Linked DNA regions of Rattus norvegicus. The protein of the gene in region 2 purifies or fractionates together with the protein of the main gene of each other region. This does not show direct contact. Links are inferred from orthologs where the notes say so. Each region holds a gene or a part of one and is shown on either strand. Other genes may lie near its edges. The genes, in order: Cd84 and Sh2d1a.

Region 1 (4,146 bases), on a different chromosome or scaffold from region 2:
GCTATCTTTTTTCCATTGGATGGTTTTGGCTCCTTTGTCAAAAATCAAGTGCCCATAGGTGTGTGGGTTCATTTCTGGGTCTTCAATTCTGTTCCATTGGTCTATCTGTCTGTCTCTGTACCAATACCATGCAGTTTTTATCACTATTGCTCTGTAATACTGCTTGAGTTCAGGGATAGTGATTCCCCCTGAAGTCCTTTTATTGTTGAGGATAGTTTTAGCTATCCTGGGTTTTCTGTTATTCCAGATGAATTTGCAAATTGTTCTGTCTAACTCTTTGAAGAATTGGATTGGTATTTTGATGGGGATTACATTGAATCTGTAGATCGCTTTTGGTAGAATGGCCATTTTTACTATATTAATCCTGCCAATCCATGAGCATGGGAGATCTTTCCATCTTCTGAGGTCTTCTTCAATTTCTTTCTTCAGAGTCTTGAAGTTCTTATTGTACAGATCTTTTACTTGTTTGGTTAAAGTCACACCGAGGTATTTTATATTATTTGGGACTATTATGAAGGGTGTCGTTTCCCTAATTTATTTCTCGGCTTGTTTCTGTTTTGTGTAGAGGAAGGCTACTGATTTATTTGAGTTAATTTTATACCCAGCCACTTTGCTGAAGTTGTTTATCAGCTTTAGTAGTTCTCTGGTGGAACTTTTGGGATCACTTAAATATACTATCATATCATCTGCAAATAGTGATATTTTGACCTCTTCTTTTCCGATCTGTATCCCCTTGACCTCCTTTTGTTGTGTGATTGCTCTGGCTAGAACTTCAAGAACTATATTGAATAAGTAGGGAGAGAGTGGGCAGCCTTGTCTAGTCCCTGATTTTAGTGGGATCTGCACGATGGTTCTTGAGTGGAGGAATGAATGTGTAGCCTACACTAGGTTGGCTATGCCATGCTTTCAAGTAAGGGATAACATATACCTTAAAGATGCCATTCCTAAATTACTTAAGGCATTGTAGCGACTGGTGGAGGCCTTGCCTCAGGGCTCCTTACACAGGTTGACTCTGCATAGAAGATCCAGCTGGTATGCCGTGGTGTGTTACAGGTATTCACAATATTGACTGATTTCTTCCCACAGCTGTTGGACAGTGATGTTACATATTGACAGGAGAATCTTCCATCCATATTCAGTCTTCTAGAGACATGGATGATTTCATCCTTTGTGCCAAAAAAATCAATTTTTATATGCCCGGCGAAGTGAAAGAGTTTGTGAGGTGCCATTTCAGGGAGTGTGTCTTATTGTTCTCATAGGAAGGATTTGACGAGTTAGGGAAAGTGTCCACAAGCCTAACAAGGAATACAAAGGTTGTTGAGTACAAGGAATGCCCAACAACAGAAGGTTTCCTGCTCTGCTTGCATGCTGGAATGTGGTATTTGCAATGTTCTGGTAAGGGGGTAGCCAGAGAAGGCCTAGGTCTTCGGGACCCCTGTTCTCACAGTGGTTGTAACTCAGTTTCCAGAGGGAGAACACTGCCCGCTCACCTAGACAACAATTTCATTACACAAAGTCTTGGGTGGTCTTTCGTCCTTCATGTTGGTTTTCCCCGTCTGTGTAAGAGAAGAAATATGAAAGACATGTTAACTGAAAGGTGCAATTGGAGGCGAGTTAGGAAAATGGCACAGGCTGATGTCCTGTGCTTGGGGACATGTGAGGCAGAAAGGCCATTTCTTTTGAGAAGTCCTTTACCTCTGCTCCAGCACCCTTATTTGGGAGCCCCAGGGTACTTCTTAGCCCGGAAGAGATAAGTAGAAAGGAATAAGGATGTTCGAAATTGGTTTTGATTGTTAGACTTCAAGCAACATCCAGGACGCAGTATTTGTTCATAGTTCAGTCTTAGTTCTTTCTGTTTCCCAACAATTCCATTCTCATCTCCACACAGAGTCAAATGACTGCTGGGGACGAGTCACTACCAGATTATGTCTCACATAATCTAGTACTCAGGATCCTGTGGACAACTTTCCCATTGGCTCGAGGAGATTTGGGTTTTCAATTAAATACTGATGGATGGGGTACAGAAGGTGGGTAGAACACACGGGAAAAGAGATAAAAAGGCCACACAGGATTTACCTTCTCATAAAGCTGCACCGAGGAATAAATGGTGGTCACGGGCTCTTCCGTACGGGACAGCATCTGGAAAAGAGATTCTCTTCAGCGAGAATGCAGGAGACAAACCCTACGAATCTCTCTTTCTAAACCCAGTCTCTCCATCACCCGCTTCCTGACACAACTTTACTGTGTAGCCTTCTTTGCAGGCATCTGCTCTTGTTCTCTCCAACTCTGGATTAGGTTAAGGTAACGATAAAGATAAATGGGTGACAGCTGGACATAGCCTTGCAGCAAAAGGCCTCTAGGAGCAAGGAGGAGGGCTCTACGTAGTTTAGACTGAGTCTCGCTCCGCCTGGAGTTTAGTTTTGTGCGAGTTAATCTGACTCTAACAGCATCCCCATCAATTCCAGTACAGTGTCAGAGTAACTGGAAAACCCAAGTGTCTCCCTTCAGTCCTTGCAGACCCAGGGAAGCAGGCTTGTGTAGACACGGAAGATGGTATTTAGTGGGTGTCAACCAGGGGAAAGCAGACAAGAAGCAGAAGGTGTGGGCCAGAGTGGTTCAGAGTCTGAGAAGAGGAGCTGCTGCTGGACCAGCTAGTGTAGTTCAGGGCTGTCCTCAGAACAGCCTTAGCAATGATTTTGCCCTGTTGGTGATCCCATGGCACCCCTCAACTCACAATAAGGACTCTTTTATTGTCTCATCCCTCCAGGGAGCTCTTCTTAGACACAAACCACTTCTAACCCACAGCTAGGCCTTCATGTGACGCTCGGGGCTTTATACCATGGACACTGTTGTAAGGAGACAATATACTATCTTTTTCTTTTTTTCATGAGGATCATTTTCTTAGCGTGGTGTTTCTTTGTTGGTCTATCCAAATTCTTGGCTGTAGCTTCTATACAGTGTATACATTCCATACAATGGCAAAGAGAAGGCAGGTGTTGCCCAAGACTCCTATTCTAGTGGTCCTAGTAATAGGGTGCATTTATGAATAGCATCAGCTTACCGTGGACTGTGGGATTTCATCATAGATTCTGGACTCTGTGAGATGGGCATTTCTTGAAACTGCAGAGTATATTATTTTCTTTGAGACATCATCTGCTACAAATAAACACAGAACCATAGTCTGTGAAGGGTAGATGGGTTTTTAGAGGCTGCCTAGTCATTTTATTTTTCTGTAATAAAAAAAAATCTGCAGGTTAAATGGCTCCCACCCTATGGAAAAGGATGTTCGGATCCTCAGATGTTCTTTCCATCCCAAGAATTACACGTGCGGTAGGGCACAGCTTACTCAAATCTCACCTAAAGCACATTGGGAATTCTTTTTTATGCCTGAGGCTCAGTTTAGCCTAAAGAGAATCTTCCTAGGCCCTGTATGAAATTCAAAGATAGCTCTGGCATTGACGACCTTGCATGGTTAGTAGACTTTTCATGTCAGGGCCTCGGTTGTTTAATTTGATTTATTCTAATTATACTTGGTGATTTCTTATCCTGGTGCATAACTGACTATAACCACAAGCATTCATGAAGCAGTAAAGTATTTATTAAGCTTCTACTCCTTAATGCCAGACTCCATAGGAGGCTACAGAAAAACAAAGAAAGGGTTTATAGATCTTTGCTTTAAAATTTTTTGAGCTACATGAGGTATTAATCTCAACACATTCTTTTTCTTTAGTATTAACACAATGTTTTAGGGTCAGGTTGAAAAGCCAGAATTTTGCGCCTTCTTATTATATAGGACACAAAAACATCTACACACAATGGATCTAATCCAAGATTATCATAGACTTCAGCATTTCTGAGCTTGTCTTGTCTAAGTCTTGCCACCAAAGTTCCCAAAATGATACTCTTCTCCCCAGTCTGGGTAAATAAATAACCTTACTTCTTAGAAGAAAGGAGACACATTCTCACATTTTACCTTCCAGGACAATCCTACCTCTCCTTCTCTTGTACAAATGGAACAGAAGTGCCACCACTGGAATGAGCATAAGCAGAGAGAGCGCGGCCAGCCCCCCTGGCAACACACCATGGTAAGGATGGAAGCTGGGAGAGTCTGGAAATAGAAACTGTAGTGAGCGTTGGCTATCAGGA
Region 2 (4,490 bases):
CCATAAACAGGGCTAGAGACTCAAGGTAGAGAATTCACCACGTCTATAGGAAAAGGTTTTCAAAATGAAATTGGTCAACAGCAAGCAAAAAAAAAAAAAAAAAAACCAAAAACAAAAAACAAAAGAAACAAGCAAACACCTTACATTTATACAGCATCCCCTGTCAGTGAAAACCAGAAGGCTGAGAATTTCCTTACATGGTTCCGGCCTATGTGCCCAAACACCAAGGTTTCTTTTCTTCAAGATTTCACTTACAACCATGTTTTATAACAACCGGTTTCTATTTTACGCAGATGTAAGGTGAAGCCCCAGAGAACTTGAGTGACTTCCTAGAGCCCCCACCCTGGCCTCTTAGCCCGATGCTCTTGCTAATGAAGAGTACAATATGGCTGAACAGTTCATCTAATTCCAAATTGTGTGCTGAGTGCCTATTATGTACCAGGATATGCTCCTGGTACTGGAGACCATGTTTGCTCCTTCATGAAGGTAGTTTGTGGTAGACCCCACATATAAGTAAACAAGCTAATGTTAGTAAGTTTAAAGTTCCTTGAATAAAGGTAATCGGGTAGCAGCCCAGAGAGGCCACTTAGGTTCGTTAATGATCAGGAGATGTAATGTCGAATACAGGTGTAAAATCCTGAGAAGGAAGCAGGCTTAGTTACCTAACAGAGGTGATCGGGTGCTATGAAAAGCACAAATCTGAGGTACACTGTCTCCAGCCCTCTCCCCTACATAGGCTGCATTTGAACTTTTATCTTTTCCTTTTGGTTAAGGAGCATGCTACCTCTATTATCAGTGTGTCCAAAGCAACCTGTTTCACTCACCATCCTTCATCTTTTCACAAGAAAAAAATACCCTAAGGAGTGTCATTGGCTTTCCCAGCTCTTCTTAGGGATCCACTTAGGAACATGAAGGTCCAAGCCCAGGGCTGGGTGTCTAGCTTAGTAAAAAAAAAAAAAAAAGCATTTTGGAGGCTCATGTAAAATCTTGGATTCTTGGATTCTCTCCCCAACACTGAAAAATTATTTTTCCATATATTTACCTTGAAGCCTTTATGATGAATGTATTTGGCATGATCTGCAAACTGCCAAAAGTAAGGCTTGGCCATTTTTAAAAAATCAATATACAATGACAATCCTTTCACACCAGCCTCAATTTAATCTTTATTTTCTGGCCCAGAAACTACTTCAAATTTTTGCAGTGTATCATCATGTACAGAACTCACTACCAAGCACTGTTTTGTTTTTGCTTTTAGGTAGACTGTACTGTACTAGAATGAGGCTGTGTGTGTGTGTGTGTGTGTGTGTGTGTGTGTGTGTGTGTGTGTGTGTGAATACCCTGCTTACAGTAGTGCCTAAACTGGGTCCTTCTGGAGACTTCCTCAAGAAGTACTGAAATAATTTGTCCAAAAAGAGACCAATAATAAACCAGACATATCTGTTGAGTATCAAAGCCCAGCATTTACTTTTTCTTTTCTAATACATGGAGGCATCATCTTCATCATCCCTTGGAATATGAAACCCATTTAAAATCAAGGGCTAAGAGACTGATTTTCGGAGAGAACAAGCTTTAGAGTCCAACTACGGTAGGGTTCGCTCGGGGAGGTTGGGAGCCAGGATGCAGCTGCACCTGGTTCAAAATGGGGCAAGAGGCTGAGAACAGTCTAGGCAAAGGTCAAAGTGGGGTCAGAAGAATGATGTTTTCTTTCTGTGCTCTTTAAAACTATTTATTGTCAGTCCTATCTTTTACGGGACACACCACGTTTTTAAACTCATTCCGCCTCTTATAAGCAAGGTAACAGCATCACGAGAAAGGCACCTCTGCTCTTTCACACACTTCCTCTCCAGAGCTGTGCTGCTTTAGTGTTCTTTGTTGTTGTTCATTAGGGTCGTACACTGTGTAGCCCTGGTGGGCATGGAACCGGCTGTGTTAACCAGGGTAGCTACCTGTAACTCACACACATCTGTCTGCCTCTGCCTTCCCTGAGGGGCATTCCGAAAATAATGAATTCCATTTCCTGGTTGGCCACTTCTCCGAGCATTTGTTAGATGCTTTTCTTTTGGGGTACCATTTTCAATCACACTTGTAGAGATTGATAGAGAAAGCTTTTCCTTTGCCTTAATTCGTGGCCCAGAAGACAAAATAGTCCAACATCCCAGAGCTCCAGAGCCGAAGTCTAGAATATGGGCCTTTCTCAAAGTAAAGGTAAATTCTAGGCCATGTTTTCCCATTCTGAAGGCTATTCAGTGAAGCTGCCACAACCGAACTGGGGAAATGCAGTAGATAAATCCCCAGGGAGGGACATACATCCAAGTACTGCCTGCCACACCCCTGGGCAGAGTCCTGGGCCAGTAAGAACTGGAAGAGTACTCAGTTCCTGCTGCCTGTATTCCCTCTGTTCCTTTGCCAAGAGTTGTAACCCCCTCCCCTGCCACTCCCCCCCGGACCTCCCCTGAAAGGGCAGGATACACATGCTATAAGCCTGCCATGACCACAAGATGTACTCACAAAACACACAGGCAGTACACGCCAGGGACACTCTCGCTGTCTCGCAGCAGATAGCTTCCATCCAGCCCCGTAGCGAGTAAGAGCTTCTCCCCCATCTCCCTGCTGATTTTGCCGTGGTACACAGTCACCGCATCCATGCCTAGCAAACTCTTTGATGGGCTCAGAAGGACGATGGTAAGAGGAAGACTTTGCGCTGCTGCTGTTGCTGCTGCAGTGGCTTGCTGGGCACAATCAGCCACCTGACTCCCAGGGCAGCCAGTATGAAAAAAAAGAGAGAGAGAAATGAGCACCCTAACAACAGGATGTTGTCTACCTGCCTTAAAACCTCTTCTCACACTTCAATTAAGGCCAGCTCAGCAGTTTAACAGGTTCAAACTTGTCATGGGTTTGATCACCCTAGTCTCCAACACAGAGTTCGTGGTGGGGGAGGGGCACACTGGAAAAGTGAACACTTGCAGCATTTGAGCTGTGCCAGCAATGCAGACAGAGCTTGCACAAAGATGAGAAGCTTGATAGGGCTTTTCTTGTGTGGTTCCTGCAACCTGTGAAGCCCTCGGCAATGACTTGGCTGAACTGGTGAACAAAAGAATGGCTGATAGAGGTAAATGGTACTTGTCATCATGAGGGGCAGAAACGGCCTGACAAAACAAAAGCATAAAAACAGCCCAACTACAAAACCAGAGTCTGGCTCTGAAGCTTCCACAGCATTCCCAAGTACTATTGAACTGTGCACTTTGGGACTAGATGTTCCTGAAAAAACTCTCTTTTCTTCAATGATGACAGAGTCCGGGACCTCCCAGATGAAGTTTTCTACCTCTAAGCCGTATGCCAAATCCTTGAATACACTTAGGCCCAAGCAAAGATTTTTTACCTTAATGTTTTTTTTCCAAGATCCAAAAGTATCAGTTTAGTCACACACACAAAAAAATTGTCATGGTATTACAAAATATTGCAGATAACTGAAGGGCTTAAAAAGAGCAAATCCTTCTATTGGCGCGTTATCATCATCATCATCATCGTTATTAAAATCCAAGCATTTCTTCTTTCCCTTTTCACCCTTTTCACCATCGAACGAACCCTGTTCTCCTTCAGCATCGTTATCACATGCATATATGCATGTTCATATAATTCCTGAGCACGTTACACAGATACAGTTGTATCTGTCTAATGCTATTTGTATGTACGTTTTCAGGGCTAGCCATCTGGTACTGGATGAGCAATTAGTATGCCCTTCCCTACGGTGACCACTACACCCGGTTTTACTCAGCTGCCTGTAGTTCTTCCTATAGGGCTGCTGGCTTGTGGGAGTTTTCTGTCCAGTTTGTTGTATGTGACCTTCTATGCACCCTTTGGTGTATGGGGCTAGGCCAGAATCATTGTGAATATAAAATCCACTTTGCGTCACTGCACAGGGGTTGATAACTGTGTTGTAACTTCTATTCTCATACATAAATGCCTACCTACATCCATGTTAAAAACATCAGAGGTTCACCTAACCAGGACTCTATTGGAAACAAAGCTAATACTTTTGAAATCAATTACAATGAGGCATTTTAAATATGAAAAGAAAAAGGGGATCCTCTTTTATTGAGTCATATGGACAGCACCCCACCTATAGTGTAACTGCTAGAACATTGAGTGTCACATAGGTTTAAAACAAAACCTAACCATTTTCTTTTTGGTCTCTGAACAACTCTGTACAAATCATCTACAAACATAGGAACAGAGAAACCTGGATCTGACGAAGCCAGCATCCCATGCATTCTTTTCTTTCTGTTTCATTCTGCATTGCTAAAATAGCACACTTGTCAAAGCAGCCAGGTACAGTGGGCTTCAGCACAACGAACATCGCATCAAAAGAGAACAGTTAAATTATAAGGTAATAGTACAGCTCTCACATCCAGTACCTTATTGTCACCTCACAAGCAAACTGACAGGTGTGCCAGCCCACCAGTGCAGTGTTGATGAAAAATACTGACATC

Evidence for each region.
Region 1: the proteins of Sh2d1a (region 2) and Cd84 purify together in Homo sapiens (affinity purification with western blotting; 4 studies listed by BioGRID and IntAct, with this or other methods). This does not show direct contact. The link is inferred for Rattus norvegicus from reciprocal best matches to the Homo sapiens genes SH2D1A and CD84.

Annotation. Positions count from the first base shown.
Region 1 is NC_086031.1:86,890,887-86,895,032, reverse strand, and holds the end of Cd84 (SLAM family member 5 isoform 3 precursor), read right to left. Parts: intron 4,109-4,146; coding exon 3,992-4,108; coding exon of another isoform or gene 3,967-3,991; intron 3,157-3,966; coding exon 3,062-3,156; intron 2,140-3,061; coding exon 2,077-2,139; intron 1,557-2,076; coding exon 1,491-1,556; 3' UTR 715-1,490; downstream 1-714. UniProt on the Homo sapiens protein: Self-ligand receptor of the signaling lymphocytic activation molecule (SLAM) family.
Region 2 is NC_086039.1:126,237,571-126,242,060, reverse strand, and holds the start of Sh2d1a (SH2 domain-containing protein 1A), read right to left. Parts: upstream 2,862-4,490; 5' UTR 2,646-2,861; coding exon 2,509-2,645; intron 1-2,508.